2 linked regions of the Struthio camelus genome follow. The protein of the gene in region 1 interacts with the protein of each later gene in a pairwise test. Links are inferred from orthologs where the notes say so. Each region holds a gene or a part of one and is shown on either strand. Other genes may lie near its edges.

Region 1 (7,239 bases):
GGCAAGCAATTGAGTTCTCTTGAACAGAGAAAGCTAGGTAATTCCAGTCGCTACGTACTTCTGTAAAACAAAAAACAAAGAGTACCATTTGTGTGTAAAGTAAGACCTGCCAAAACGCTAATCAATACAGTACCTCTTTCATGTATTGATTATACAAGGCTTCTGCAGATTCCAAGTATGTTTGAGCAGTTTTGATTTCATCCCTTTCAGACCACAGGATACCCAGACTGTTCTAAACAAAAAAAGAAAAAAAGTTTTTCCTGTTACGCTCAATTTACATTTAGACGTTTTCTCCAAACAATTTATCAGTCTTCATCCTGATATACATCATTCTAATACAATGGAGTTAGAAAGGCAAAATTCGACTCATGCATTTTATCTCATGTTGCTTTAAGAGAAGGGTTCTCAAACACAGGCAAATTCATAAAAAAAAGTCATCTCACTTAAACAGTGGTCTTTTGTGTTTACCCTGCTAAATTAGGACCTGTGTGTTCAAATAAGGAGCTTTTTCCACACAGTTCTGCATCTGATTCATGCAACTTTTAACTCATAATCATAAGAGTCAAGGAAATAGAAAATTGTCAATGTGACTTTGTATGAACAAAAAAAATCAATAGGAAAAGATAAGCCAGGAAGAACACCTGTATTTCTTCAACAAGGAGATGAAACTGTTAAATGCAAAAGCTAAGGACTAACGCCTTCAAATTTAAAATACAGAAATGCACACAGTAACACGTCATACATCTGTGAACCCACCTTTTACAAAAAGCCCCTCTAACTATTAATAAAATGAAGGTGTCAATAACAATCCAAGTCACATGTGCTAGTTCAGTTCCCAGACAGAGTTGTTAAAAAAATAAAACAAAAAAACCAAAAAAAAAAAACGCAACAGGACTACAGAAAGAAAAAAGCTTCAAAAAAGCCAGAGCATGTAGCTTGGCCAATGCCACCTCCCTTCCAATTCCATTTATTTTATGATTTTAAAAAGAAAGCACCATGTAGCATGTTTATAAACGGCAATACTTTGCCGATGGCTGAGCAGTGGAACTAACTAAACTCAATGAGACAGGAGCTGTCACATACATCATTGTGCAGCACAGAGACCAGGAGTAGGGCTGCAGAAGCAGGAAAAAACAATGCTACTTCTTTCAAAATAGAAGTCAGCGCACTGACAACATACTCTACAGTACCTAGGATGTGCTGAGAGAGAAATCTGTCATCACACCAACCGCTGTTGATGATTACTGCTTGGAGTATTCAGAAGTTTTGTAATTAAGGACTCGACCTATTATAGGCCTTGAGATGGAACATTGAGAGCACGCTAATTTATCATCATTGTTCTCAGCCACATGTCTTGTGTTATGTCCCAGACGATAGTAGATTTTTCTGCTGTTGGACCACAGCACTTTTCATCCTGCCGCTTCTAGAAGGTGTCAAGTTTGGAAAATCCATGCAGATGGCAGCACTCATCCAATGGAGAAAAGCACCACTTTCCAGCATATCAGCTGAAAAGCACAGTGGAGTCCTTGCCCTTTCAAATACTGGGAAGATATTGTGTTATTTTGACTAGCTTCTTAACTAATCTTGAATCTTACATAAAATGGCTTTCTTCCAGTAACAGATTTGTAGCAGAGTACCCGGACTGCCACTCTGAAAGAGAGTGAGCAGATAAAACCTTACAAATTCCAGGCAGCTCATTCAGTTTAAGCCGCATAAGACAAATGATTTTTCAACTAAAAGGAGTCTCTCCACACAAACACACAATTCCTTGACAGTTTTGTAACGGGTGACAAAGAAAGAATACTTAGCCTTTTCTTATTAGGTGGGCTAATTTTGACAGACATCTAAGTAACAGACTGACTTAAATAGAGCTGGAGATGTACATATAAAACACAGCTGCCATGAAGAAGGAATTGATTAAAGGCCCATCCCTTTTGGGAATCCTCATGTGTTAAGTAATAATCCTGTAACAGTGTTACTTTTTTCAGGATAGAAAGATGAATGTTATTTCTAACAACACAAAACTACCTTTAATCATCTGGAATAAACGTAACAGATAGTGAGCTAACAGGCAATGCTGAAAAAGCAAACAAGTCGGTCCTTTCAGAACAAACGCACCTTTTCAGGATATGGTATAAATAAAAGCAACCCCCTCCCCCAACACGCTGTGGCTGCAAATGACAGCTCAACAACCACAAATAAATTCCAGACGTGCTGAGATCTCCCCCCAGTCCAGCCTCAGGACCGCTGAGGTTCTGTCTCACCGTCCCCTGCAAATACCCCCCTCAACCCGCCCAGCCCAGGGGGCCCTCCTGTGCTCGCCCACCCCACCCCTGCCCTCCCGACCCCCCTACAGCTGCCTGCACACCATCTCCAGCCCCCCGGACCCCCCTGTCCTCCCCTACAAGTTCCCTGCACATACAGGCCCCCCCCACACCCCCTAACCCCCCATTCACACAGACCCTCCCAGGCCCCCCAGCTCCTTCCCCCACAGACCACCTCACTCCCCCAACCGCCCACTCACACAGGCCCCTCAGATCACCCCAGCACCCCCCAGGCCTCCCAGCCCCCCAGACAGCCCCCCGCCCCCCCGGCCCACCTGGGCCTGTATGTAGAGGGAGACGCAGCCGCGGGAGAGGCGGTGCGGCTCGAGGAGGCGGGCGCAGCGCAGCAGGTGCTCCTCGCCGGCCGACAGCTCCTCCGTGTCGCTGTGGTTGGCGCCCAGCTCGTACTCCAGCACGGCCCGCCGCACGGCCCGCAGCCCCGCCTCGCCGCCCTCCTCGGCGGCGCTCAGCAGCTGCTTCACCTCCTCGAGCAGCGCCCGCGCCGCGTACTTGGAGCGGTACGGCTCCGTCTCCGGGTCCTTGCGCGACTCCACGGCCGACAGCGTCCGCGCGCTGCGGAACTTCTCGCACACCGCCGCCCACCCGCCGCCCGCCGCCGCCATCTTCTTCCCCCCGCCGCCGCACGCGCCCCGCCGCGTGACGCCCGCCGGCCAATCACGCCGCGGCGCGGAGGCGGCGCTCCGCCCCCGCCGCGCGCGGCTCCGCGCGGCGGGGCGGGGCGAGCCGAGCCCCGCCCCCCCCGCGCGACATCCCCCCCCCCGCGCGACATCCCCCCCCCCCCCCCCGCTACCCCGGCGCATCACGCGAGGGCCGCTCGTTGCCATTACAGCGTTTATCCTCCCGCAGCGCTAAGTTTCCAGCGCTGTGCTCACCCCGAGCTGTACTTGCCACGCGGTTTAAGAGGAGGAAAAAACGGCAGCAGCGATTGTGTCAGTAAAAAAGAAAAAAAAATCCACTTTTCAAAAAATTACTTTTCCTCTCATTTCAGCAAACGAGCGATTGCTAGCCATCCTCAAAGAAAGGCTGCTTAATCAAGGAATAAAGACAAAGACGAATGTCCAATAGGTTTTTACTTTTGGATAAAAAGCAGCTCAGTCCCATAGCTCCATCGGCCGTTAATGAAATGACCTGTTAAAATTCTGTCCCTGGTTTCCGTTCTTAAATCTGTTGTTCCTCCTGAAGCCGTTGTCACCTTGTCTGCCACTTCCAAACCTGGAGAAGCCTTGGCCTGCCTCATGCGGGTGCTCTTCCAGCTCAGGCAACTCCTTTGCTACAGACAGCTGCCAGCGTCTGGTGTCCTGCCACTGTTCCTGAAACAAGAGCAATATAATAGACTTACGAGCCGGCAGGTGCAAACGTGCAGGTGCGCCCGAGATACCCTATGTTGTTAGGCACAAAGGCACTTCCAGACAAATCCCACCCTCGCCAAAATAGGTCAGATCCCTAAGGGAGGCAAGCATCACTCTTAAGCTTCAAAAAAAAAAAAAAAAAAAAAACCACCTCCGTTTGCAGTCCTATGACCAAGGCCAGACAAGCAAAGGGATAAGAGGGAGTAAAGACCACAGAGACCTGGTTAGCTGTCGCTGCTCTCAAATACACTACTAGCAAGGTCAAAACCCAGAGTGGCCAAAGAACATCGGATGTTCTTTAAGAAAAATGGGGTAGTAGGAAGAGAACTAAAAGGACAGAGCTCGGTGGGGCATGTATTCTGTGATGACTCTGCTGGCATTTCTATGCAGTCTCCTTGGAAAAATCACAAACCTTATCTTCTCCAACTAGTCTGTAACAATATAATCACCATGTATTTGACTAACGTATCACCCCTCAGACGTTCCAAAAGCAGATTCTGACCGTAAAAACGTACCTGTATGCGACTCAGTTCATCAAAAGGGATATCGAAGCACACTCCCTATACATAAACAAAGATAAGCATTTGTTTTCCAAAAACGTATCTAGTAACAGAGGCACAAAACCAAAACTCCAGACAGCCAGCACCTGAAACACTGCTCATTAAGGCTGGGAATAGAAACCAGAAGCAGCAGAACGCATGCCCTTTCGGGGGTACCTTTTCATAAGCTGCAGAAAGAGCAGTTAAAAAACTGCAGCTCGTGACAAAACGCAGACCCAAATGATGGGTGCTGAGAGCAGCACCGCCTGCAGTTGGCCCGCCTGTTCAAAGGTAAGGCAGGCTTCTCCAGCAGCACACGTTCTCTGCTGTCAGATATGTCAAGAGCCAAGCTGACAATGAAGCGAATACTGCACTGATCAGGTTCGGGCTGTCAGTCGCGGCTCTCCTCTACTGACGTTCTTTCAGTGCAACGGTATGTAGTGTTACTGTGAGTTTACAATGAAAGAATAAAGGTCACAACAGCCATTTCTACCACACATTATTCTGATGTGCTCTTTTAGGAGAGAATTCCTGTATCATCATTTGGGAGCAGTGTCTTCATTCAAGCAAATATCTTTTAACACTCAGCTAGCTTTTAACACATTTCTGTAGAGCGTAAAAACAGACAGCAGTTAAAGGGATTTTGTGTGATACGTTAGCATTTTACATGAAGGAGAAATGAGATGGAGTAGGGATAGAGCGAGACAAGACGTTTCCGCACTGCTGCTTCAGAACTCTCATCTCAGTCACTGCAGAAAGCGGCCGTGTACACACACACACACACACACACACACAGACACACACGGATAGAGACACATCCCTCCTTCCCCAAGGTTGTGCCATCTTACCATCTTCCCCTTGAGGAAACGCATTGCAGATACTTTAGCATCCACTTCCTCACCAAGCTGTTCTTTTAGTCCTCGCCAGGCGTAGCTCATGGTACGCATCTCTATAGAGCACTGCAACACCATGGTCACAAAGCCCTTCAGGAGCAAACAGAGAAACACATTTACAAAAGATGACTAAACTTGGTTGGACAGTCTGTCACCCATTAACTGTTATGAACGATGTAATAACTTACAATTGCAATGCAGTACTTAATCCTAAGAAATCAGCTTCCCAGGAGTGGGGCAACTAAAAGCCTCCAAAGAAGCTGAAGGTATCCATCTAACCTAAGAATGCCCATCAGGACAAAGGCCAGTAGCACTTCTGCGTTTTAGCCAGAAGCAGAGCTCAGTACATTAAGAAAGTAACAGCTGGAAAAAAAGTAAAATTAAACCGATATGAGGAAGGACAGTCCAATCACCACAGTGTTTCCAAAACCATGATCACACAATTAACCGGGCCAGGTTCTCTCCAAAGGCATCAGAAAAAGGAAAAGTAGTAATTTTTCCTCTATCAAGATGTCTTTAAAGTCAGATAACCACATGCTAGGCTTACTTGAAATTGGCAGAAATAAAGGTGCTTCCTGGGAAGGCAACTGCAACAACAGCAAGAACCAAAGTCTGAGCTTGTGAAATTTCATTAATTGAGGCCTCTTAGAGCAAAGTCTTCTGTCACCTACATCTCTGGAGCAATTCTTTTAACGCTCATTATGAGAAAATTTACCAACTGACTTCAAGTTTCTCTGTTTCCCTACAGAATGCCAGTAAGATCTGATTCCACTTAAGGAACCAGACACAAACCGAACGTTGGAGATAACAGCTACTTGGAATCCCCAGAACAAGATGACACACTTAGACTGGACTCAAGCCATTCGCTCAGCCATTCTTGTCAACACAGATGCAATGTTATTTACCGCAGTTGAGTTGAGTAAGGAGCGCTGCTGGATGGAGGATGCCCCAGAAATATGAGCTAGAGCTGCAGCCAGCGCATCAATCGCCCCTTTTTCCTCTATCAGCTCTTGAGCTGACTGTCTGAAGTAGTCTACTGCAGAAGGAGGAACGGAATCCAAAAACCTAAACGTTGATAACACAGGCTTGAGAGATCAGCGTGCCAAAGACCAGTGTGAAGTGCAGTCACGTTCAAGACATCACAAATATTTCAGACAACTTTCAGTACTATTTACCTCTAAAAGCCTTGGTTGCAATGTTCATGCTTCAATTACCACTCATCTAACTCAACACCTTCAAGGAGGTGGAATACCTGCTTTTTCCATCATTCAGCCAGGCCTCAAAGATGCGTGCAAAACTGAGCACACACGAGACACTTGAGAGCTTTGATAACAATATTCAAGGGAAGGATCTAAGATATCAGCATTTTTAAGGCCAGGCCCGAGGATCTACAAAAAAAGTTGCCAGCAGATCTGAGACTCCCTTGCTTTTTTACTTCACGAGGAAGAGAAGTAAATCACTACAGCGCCACTACAGGCTGAGGTAAGACATTTCTTGCTCTCAGTAAAAGCTGATTAAATTGGTTATTTCTGGAAGAGGGAATGAGAACAAGCTGGAAAACCGAGAATAGCTTTCTGTTTTCCAGCAGCTCTCAGATGCTATCTTTGGTACATCATCGCCTCCCATGCTCCCCTTCTACATACAGCATGGGGTGAACCCAGCACCAAGCCCACGATCATCTTCAAACTGGCCAAACTTGCAATAACTATAGTTTAAGATTTCTGTCAACATCATTTCCACCAATCAGGCAGCAAACATAAATAGAGCTGCATGGAGTAAAACAGCAGAGCACCCTTGACAATAAAACCATACAGAAAAAAAAGCAGAGGATGAGGCTGTAACACTTGCTAGCGTAGTACAACTCCTCATTACAGTAAGCATTGCTCTTCAAACACTGCTACTGCACCATCCGAGAGGAGGAGATCAGTTTCCCCGTGGCAGCAGTTTCCTATCCTACTACTGATAGTGAGATTTCTTCTGTTGTAAATGAAGGTTCGTTTTTACCAAGAACTTAGAGAACGTTATATTCTGTGAAAAGGGTTCAAGAATGCACAGGTTTATTGTTACTATCCTTAGAAAACCGATCAGTGTCTACATGTGAAGCAACTGACTT
Region 2 (7,736 bases), on another chromosome or scaffold:
GTGTGTCCTGCGCCCCGAGGGCCGTGTGTCCTGCCGCCCCGAGGGCCGTGTGTCCTGCGCCCCGAGGGCCGTGTGTCCTGCCGCACCGAGGGCCGTGTGTCCTGCTGGCACCGAGGGCCGTGTGTCCTGCCGCCCCGAGGGCCGTGTGTCCTGCACCCCGAGGGCCGTGTGTCCTGCCCACCGAGGGCCGTGTGTCCTGCCGCCCCGAGGGCCATGTGTCCTGCTGCCCCGAGGGCCGTGTGTCCTGCACCCCGAGGGCCGTGTGTCCTGCTGCCCCGAGGGCCGTGTGTCCTGCTGGCACCGAGGGCCGTGTGTCCTGCCGCACCGAGGGCCGTGTGTCCTGCCGCCCCGAGGGCCGTGTGTCCTGCCGCACCGAGGGCCGTGTGTCCTGCTGCCCCGAGGGCCGTGTGTCCTGCCGCCCCGAGGGCCGTGTGTCCTGCACCCCGAGGGCCGTGTGTCCTGCTGCACCGAGGGCCGTGTGTCCTGCTGGCACCGAGGGCCGTGTGTCCTGCTGCCCCGAGGGCCGTGTGTCCTGCCGCACCGAGGGCCGTGTGTCCTGCTGCCCCGAGGGCCGTGTGTCCTGCTGCACCGAGGGCCGTGTGTCCTGCCGCACCGAGGGCCGTGTGTCCTGCTGCCCCGAGGGCCGTGTGTCCTGCCCACCGAGGGCCGTGTGTCCTGCTGCCCCGAGGGCCGTGTGTCCTGCCGCACCGAGGGCCGTGTGTCCGGCTGCCCCGAGGGCCGTGTGTCCTGCCGCCCCGAGGGCCGTGTGTCCTGCCCACCGAGGGCCGTGTGTCCTGCCGCACCGAGGGCCGTGTGTCCTGCTGCCCCGAGGGCCGTGTGTCCTGCCGCACCGAGGGCCGTGTGTCCTGCTGCCCCGAGGGCCGTGTGTCCTGCCCACCGAGGGCCGTGTGTCCTGCCGCCCCGAGGGCCGTGTGTCCTGCACCCCGAGGGCCGTGTGTCCTGCCCACCGAGGGCCGTGTGTCCTGCTGGCACCGAGGGCCGTGTGTCCTGCCCACCGAGGGCCGTGTGTCCTGCTGGCACCGAGGGCCGTGTGTCCTGCCGCCCCGAGGGCCGTGTGTCCTGCGCCCCGAGGGCCGTGTGTCCTGCCGCCCCGAGGGCCGTGTGTCCTGCTGGCACCGAGGGCCGTGTGTCCTGCTGCACCGAGGGCCGTGTGTCCTGCTGCCCCGAGGGCCGTGTGTCCTGCTGGCACCGAGGGCCGTGTGTCCTGCTGACACCGAGGGCCGTGTGTCCTGCCGCCCCGAGGGCCGTGTGTCCTGCCCACCGAGGGCCGTGTGTCCTGCACCCCGAGGGCCGTGTGTCCTGCTGCACCGAGGGCCGTGTGTCCTGCTGGCACCGAGGGCCGTGTGTCCTGCTGCCCCGAGGGCCGTGTGTCCTGCCGCCCCGAGGGCCGTGTGTCCTGCTGCACCGAGGGCCGTGTGTCCTGCTGGCACCGAGGGCCGTGTGTCCTGCCGCACCGAGGGCCGTGTGTCCTGCTGCCCCGAGGGCCGTGTGTCCTGCCCACCGAGGGCCGTGTGTCCTGCTGCCCCGAGGGCCGTGTGTCCTGCGCCCCGAGGGCCGTGTGTCCTGCCGCACCGAGGGCCGTGTGTCCTGCGCCCCGAGGGCCGTGTGTCCTGCTGGCACCGAGGGCCGTGTGTCCTGCACCCCGAGGGCCGTGTGTCCTGCCCACCGAGGGCCGTGTGTCCTGCGCCCCGAGGGCCGTGTGTCCTGCTGCCCCGAGGGCCGTGTGTCCTGCCGCACCGAGGGCCGTGTGTCCTGCTGCCCCGAGGGCCGTGTGTCCTGCTGCACCGAGGGCCGTGTGTCCTGCTGGCACCGAGGGCCGTGTGTCCTGCCGCACCGAGGGCCGTGTGTCCTGCTGCCCCGAGGGCCGTGTGTCCTGCTGGCACCGAGGGCCATGTGTCCTGCCGCACCGAGGGCCGTGTGTCCTGCTGCCCCGAGGGCCGTGTGTCCTGCTGCACCGAGGGCCGTGTGTCCTGCCCACCGAGGGCCGTGTGTCCTGCCGCCCCGAGGGCCGTGTGTCCTGCTGCCCCGAGGGCCGTGTGTCCTGCTGGCACCGAGGGCCGTGTGTCCTGCCGCACCGAGGGCCGTGTGTCCTGCTGCCCCGAGGGCCGTGTGTCCTGCCCACCGAGGGCCGTGTGTCCTGCTGCCCCGAGGGCCGTGTGTCCTGCTGCCCCGAGGGCCGTGTGTCCTGCCCACCAAGGGCCGTGTGTCCTGCTGCACCGAGGGCCGTGTGTCCTGCCCACTGAGGGCCGTGTGTCCTGCTGCACCGAGGGCCGTGTGTCCTGCGCCCCGAGGGCCGTGTGTCCTGCACCCCGAGGGCCGTGTGTCCTGCTGCCCCGAGGGCCGTGTGTCCTGCACCCCGAGGGCCGTGTGTCCTGCTGCACCGAGGGCCGTGTGTCCTGCTGCCCCGAGGGCCGTGTGTCCTGCTGGCACCGAGGGCCGTGTGTCCTGCGCCCCGAGGGCCGTGTGTCCTGCGCCCCGAGGGCCGTGTGTCCTGCTGCCCCGAGGGCCGTGTGTCCTGCTGGCACCGAGGGCCGTGTGTCCTGCTGCCCCGAGGGCCGTGTGTCCTGCCGCCCCGAGGGCCGTGTGTCCTGCTGGCACCGAGGGCCGTGTGTCCTGCACCCCGAGGGCCGTGTGTCCTGCTGCCCCGAGGGCCGTGTGTCCTGCTGGCACCGAGGGCCGTGTGTCCTGCCGCCCCGAGGGCCGTGTGTCCTGCTGGCACCGAGGGCCGTGTGTCCTGCTGCCCCGAGGGCCGTGTGTCCTGCTGGCACCGAGGGCCGTGTGTCCTGCTGCCCCGAGGGCCGTGTGTCCTGCCGCCCCGAGGGCCGTGTGTCCTGCTGGCACCGAGGGCCGTGTGTCCTGCTGCCCCGAGGGCCGTGTGTCCTGCCGCCCCGAGGGCCGTGTGTCCTGCTGCCCCGAGGGCCATGTGTCCTGCGCCCCGAGGGCCGTGTGTCCTGCCGCCCCGAGGGCCGTGTGTCCTGCTGCCCCGAGGGCCGTGTGTCCTGCTGCCCCGAGGGCCGTGTGTCCTGCCGCCCCGAGGGCCGTGTGTCCTGCGCCCCGAGGGCCGTGTGTCCTGCTGCACCGAGGACCGTGTGTCCTGCTGGCACCGAGGGCCGTGTGTCCTGCTGCCCCGAGGGCCGTGTGTCCTGCTGGCACCGAGGGCCGTGTGTCCTGCGCCCCGAGGGCCGTGTGTCCTGCCGCCCCGAGGGCCGTGTGTCCTGCCGCCCCGAGGGCCGTGTGTCCTGCTGGCACCGAGGGCCGTGTGTCCTGCTGGCACCGAGGGCCGTGTGTCCTGCGCCCCGAGGGCCGTGTGTCCTGCTGCCCCGAGGGCCGTGTGTCCTGCCGCCCCGAGGGCCGTGTGTCCTGCGCCCCGAGGGCCGTGTGTCCTGCTGGCACCGAGGACCGTGTGTCCTGCTGGCACCGAGGGCCGTGTGTCCTGCTGCCCCGAGGGCCGTGTGTCCTGCTGGCACCGAGGGCCGTGTGTCCTGCGCCCCGAGGGCCGTGTGTCCTGCCGCCCCGAGGGCCGTGTGTCCTGCCGCCCCGAGGGCCGTGTGTCCTGCTGGCACCGAGGGCCGTGTGTCCTGCTGGCACCGAGGGCCGTGTGTCCTGCGCCCCGAGGGCCGTGTGTCCTGCTGGCACCGAGGGCCGTGTGTCCTGCTGCACCGAGGGCCATGTGTCCTGCTGCCCCGAGGGCCGTGTGTCCTGCCGCACCGAGGGCCATGTGTCCTGCGCCCCGAGGGCCGTGTGTCCTGCCGCACCGAGGGCCGTGTGTCCTGCTGGCACCGAGGGCCGTGTGTCCTGCTGCCCCGAGGGCCGTGTGTCCTGCCGCCCCGAGGGCCGTGTGTCCTGCTGCCCCGAGGGCCATGTGTCCTGCGCCCCGAGGGCCGTGTGTCCTGCTGGCACCGAGGGCCGTGTGTCCTGCTGCCCCGAGGGCCGTGTGTCCTGCCGCCCCGAGGGCCGTGTGTCCTGCTGCCCCGAGGGCCGTGTGTCCTGCCGCCCCGAGGGCCGTGTGTCCTGCTGGCATGTTGCCCCGAATCTCCATGCCCGACCCACGAAGCAGCTGGCGCAGCCTGTCCTGCTGCCCCGTCCCCGTCGCCGTCCTGGCGCTGCCCCGGGGCCGAGCGACAGCCCAGCGGTGGCCGAGGCCGCAGGCCGCCGGCGCGCGGGCTCCGCCGGGGAAGCCGCGGCGGTGCCGGGGCGGCAGGCTTTGATTAGCCGAGCTCGGAGACGCGCTCCTGGCATGAAAGGCGGCAGTGCCGGCCCCCGCCACCGCCTGCCTCGCGCCCTTCCCGAGCCTTTTCTTCGGGGGAAGGTGTCCGGAGAGCGGGCAGCCCCCCGGCCCGCCGCCTTTCTTCCCTCCAAGAGCTCTGCGGCTCTCGCCCCGCCTGAATACCCTCCGTGCGGGGCCGGCGGGGACTTGAAAGGGAGCCGGGGCAGAGCCGCGGCGCGCCGCGACGAGGGGGTCGAGCCCCACTAGCCGACCCCTTCCCTAACGGGGGGCAGCCTTTGGGGAGGGGGCTTGGGGGGCTGCCAGAGGCATGCAAAGCCTGGGCAGGAGGAGGAGGAGGAGGAAGGCCTCCGGCTCCAGACATCCCCATGCACAGGTCGCCCCGCTGCCCCGGAGGAGCGGGGGGGATGCTGGCGCCGCGGGAGAGAAAACGATGAGCTGGTAAATCTGCTTCCTGCGGGACCCGTAACACTTTCCGTCCTCTCTGCAGCGGAGGTATAAATAACGCGTTTCCGGGTGGCGGGCGGCCTGGGTCTCCCGCACGGCCCCGGCCCTCCAAGGCATCCGGACTGCCCGCGGGAGGGCGCAGGGCCTCGCCGCCGCTCCCCAACGGCCCTGCTGGCCGCCAGCGGGGGCACCTCCAGCCCCGTTTCCCAGATAGGGAAACTGAGGCACGGACAGGGTTTGCCCACGATGGTGCCCCTCCTGCACCGTGCGGGTGGGCGAAAAGCAGCGGACCGGCAACGGCAGCGGGCGCACGCACGCACGTGTGCGGGCCAGCGCAGCCCCGCCGCGGCCCCCGGGGACGGGCCGGCACGCCGCACGTGCGCGCACGCGCTCGCCTCCGAGCAGCGCCCGCGGCTGCCCTTTTTGGTAACATCGCACATACAGGAAGCTCGAGCGCAACCCGTACGCGTGTAGGAAACGAGAGAGAGGAAAAAAAAAAAAATAGGAGCGGGGCCGAGAGGCGAGGAGGGCGCCAGGGCAGCGGCGGGGGCGCCGGAGGATGCCCGCGGCTGCAAGATGGACGAGGCGGCGGTGAAGCAGGGCGCGCTCTACCTGCAGCTGCAGCAGACCTTCGGCAAGGTAAGGACGAGCCCGGGGCCGCCGCAGCTCCGTGCACGGCCGGGGCCGGCCCTCGCCCCGCTGCCTGCGCGCCCCGACCTCGGTGTCTTGCAAAGGGCCGGTGAGGGCACGAGGGCGCTGGGGGCAGAGCCCGGCGTTTCCCGCGCGGGGGGCGCTGGGTGCACGGCGGGTTTCGCGTGGCAGCGGGCGCCTCCGGAGGAGCCGGGCGATCGCCGCCGGCTCGGCCGCTGCCGGGAGCCTTGGCGGCGCGAAGCCTCCTGCTCGCCGCCCGCCCGCCGGGCCGCTGGGAAGGAGCTGGGGCCTCGGAGGCGCCGGATGCGCCCGGCGCGGCGAAAGGCTCCAGCCCGCGGCGCAGCGGGGTGCCGAGCCGAGGCCGGGGCGCGAGCCCCTGCGCCGCCCCCGCCGGCCGGTGAGAGCCGGGCGCAGCGAGGGCTGCCGGCGGCCGCCGCTCTTGTGCAAGAAGGGGAAGGAGCTTCCTGGGCGTCTCCGGCGGCCGCCCGGCCAGCCGGGACGCGTCTCGCTCTGCAAGGGCACCGCGCGCGGGGTGCGGGGGGCGCAGGACGGGTCCTTGCTCCCTGCGGTGGGCGGCTCCGGGCGCCCCGCAGCGCCGGGCAGGCCGGGGAGCTGCGTGCGCGTTGCTGTTCGGCGCGGGGCGGGGGTGCTCCACCGGGGAGGCAAAAGCGGAGCTGGCGAACGCCGGCGGGCGGGCGAGGGGGGCTCCCGATCCATCCCCTTCCTTCCCCTCTGGCAGAAATGGAAGAAGTTCTGGGGCATTTTGTACCGGGAAAGCTCCTGCTCCACGGCCCGCCTGGAGCTGTTCGAGGGCGCCGCGCCGCCCGCCGCCGACAAGCCGCGGCGCAGCGAGAGCGGCAGGAGGATCGTCAAGCTGAGCGACTGCGTGCACGTGGCGGAGGCGCCCGGCGACGCCGGCGGCCCCAAGGACACCGTCGCCTTCCTGCTGGAGACCACCGACAAGTGCTACCTCCTGGCGGCCGAGGGGGCCGAGGCGGCCGGCTGGATCGGGAGGCTCTGCGAGCTGGCCTTTCCCGTGAGCCGGGGCGCCAGGCGGGCCGGGGAGGCTGCGGCGGAGGGGCGAGGCGGCAGGGGGTGAGCGGGGCCGCGCGGGCTCAGCCGCCGCGGCTCAGCCGCCGCTCTTTCCTTGGGAGGAGCAGGCGGCGGCGGGGAAGGATGGCCAACAAGCCGCGCCGAAATCCAAGGACGGCGAGTTTTCCATGGAGGAGAACTCCCTCTACAGCTCCAGGGGCAAAGGTGGGCAGCGCGGCGGGCCGGGGCAGCTGGGGGGCTCTGTACCCCGCCGGGCGGCGCTGCGCCCAGCGCTAGACTCGCGGTGCAGCGACCGGGCGAGACTGGGCTTCGGAGGCGGCTGGCTGGACGGCGGCACGGGTGGACAGGGCAGAGGAGCGAGGAAGCAGCAGCCCCCCCCCGGGCCAGGCCCCCCCGCCGCGTCCCCGAGGCACGCTGCTCCCAACCGGCTGCCCTTACGTCGTGCCCCGGGCATCGCGCGCCCGGGCTCTGCTTGCCCCCCCGTCGCGAGCGCGAGCGCCGCCAGGCTCGTCCTGCCTGTGCAAACGGCCACCACAACAGCGACTCGCAGGCGGCGCAATGGAAAGCCCGTCTCAGAAATAGCTGCTTTGCGCTCTTCCTGCGCTGCGGTTTGCCAGGGCAGAGCTTGGTTGCGATAACTGGCCACTCCTGAGCGGCCAGCGCCTTTGAGCCCTTATCGGCCGGATACTGCTTTCCCCGCCACCCCCCGCCCGGGCAGCGCCGGGGGGGTCACGGTCCCCATTGCACCACGGCATCGCCCGGGGGGTGGGCTCGGGGCTGGCTCGGGGCTGGGGCACACGATGATCCCAGCAAAAAGGACGTGAGGGTGGATGGCACATCGGGGAGAGGGGGGTGGCGAGGTCGCCAGCCCTCCGGGGACGCCACAGCGAGCTGGCGAGTCGCGGGAGCCCGGCGCGGGAGCTGCTGCAGCTCTCGGCTAAAGCCTGGGTCCATGCTGGGCCACGCCGCTCTCGCCTGCACACGTGGGGAGGTGGCTGGAGGGCACCCCCAGCGCCGGCGTGTGCACCCTCGCGTGCAGGCGAGTGCACCCTCAGTGCTGGCGTGTGCACCCTCAGCACAGGCGGGTGCACCCTCAGCGCAGGCGGGTGCACCCTCAGTGCAGGCGGGTGCACCCTCAGTGCAGGCATGTGCACCCTCAGCGCAGGCGAGTGCACCCTCAGCGCAGGCGAGTGCACCCTCAGTGCAGGCATGTGCACCCTCAGCGCAGGCGAGTGCACCCTCAGCACAGGCGGGTGCACCCTCGCATGCAGGCGGGTGCACCCTCGCATGCAGGCGGGTGCACCCTCAGTGCAGGCGGGTGCACCCTCAGCGCAGGCAT

The links.
Region 2: the proteins of KIFBP (region 1) and DOK2 interact in a two-hybrid assay, tested with the Homo sapiens proteins (2 studies listed by BioGRID and IntAct). The two-hybrid records come from large-scale screens. The link is inferred for Struthio camelus from reciprocal best matches to the Homo sapiens genes KIFBP and DOK2.

Annotation. Positions count from the first base shown.
Region 1 is NC_090948.1:39,034,427-39,041,665, reverse strand, and holds the start of KIFBP (KIF-binding protein), read right to left. Parts: upstream 3,011-7,239; 5' UTR 2,948-3,010; coding exon 2,600-2,947; intron 233-2,599; coding exon 134-232; intron 1-133. Other genes in the region: nucleolar RNA helicase 2, read right to left, coding at 3,461-3,655, 4,210-4,254, 5,082-5,216, 6,032-6,191. UniProt on the Homo sapiens protein: Activator of KIF1B plus-end-directed microtubule motor activity. Required for organization of axonal microtubules, and axonal outgrowth and maintenance during peripheral and central nervous system development.
Region 2 is NC_090968.1:5,669,646-5,677,381, forward strand, and holds the start of DOK2 (docking protein 2), read left to right. Parts: upstream 1-4,725; 5' UTR 4,726-4,741; intron 4,742-5,050; exon of another isoform or gene 5,051-5,137; 5' UTR 5,138-5,269; coding exon 5,270-5,332; intron 5,333-6,083; coding exon 6,084-6,380; intron 6,381-6,498; coding exon 6,499-6,601; intron 6,602-7,736. UniProt on the Homo sapiens protein: DOK proteins are enzymatically inert adaptor or scaffolding proteins. They provide a docking platform for the assembly of multimolecular signaling complexes. DOK2 may modulate the cellular proliferation induced by IL-4, as well as IL-2 and IL-3.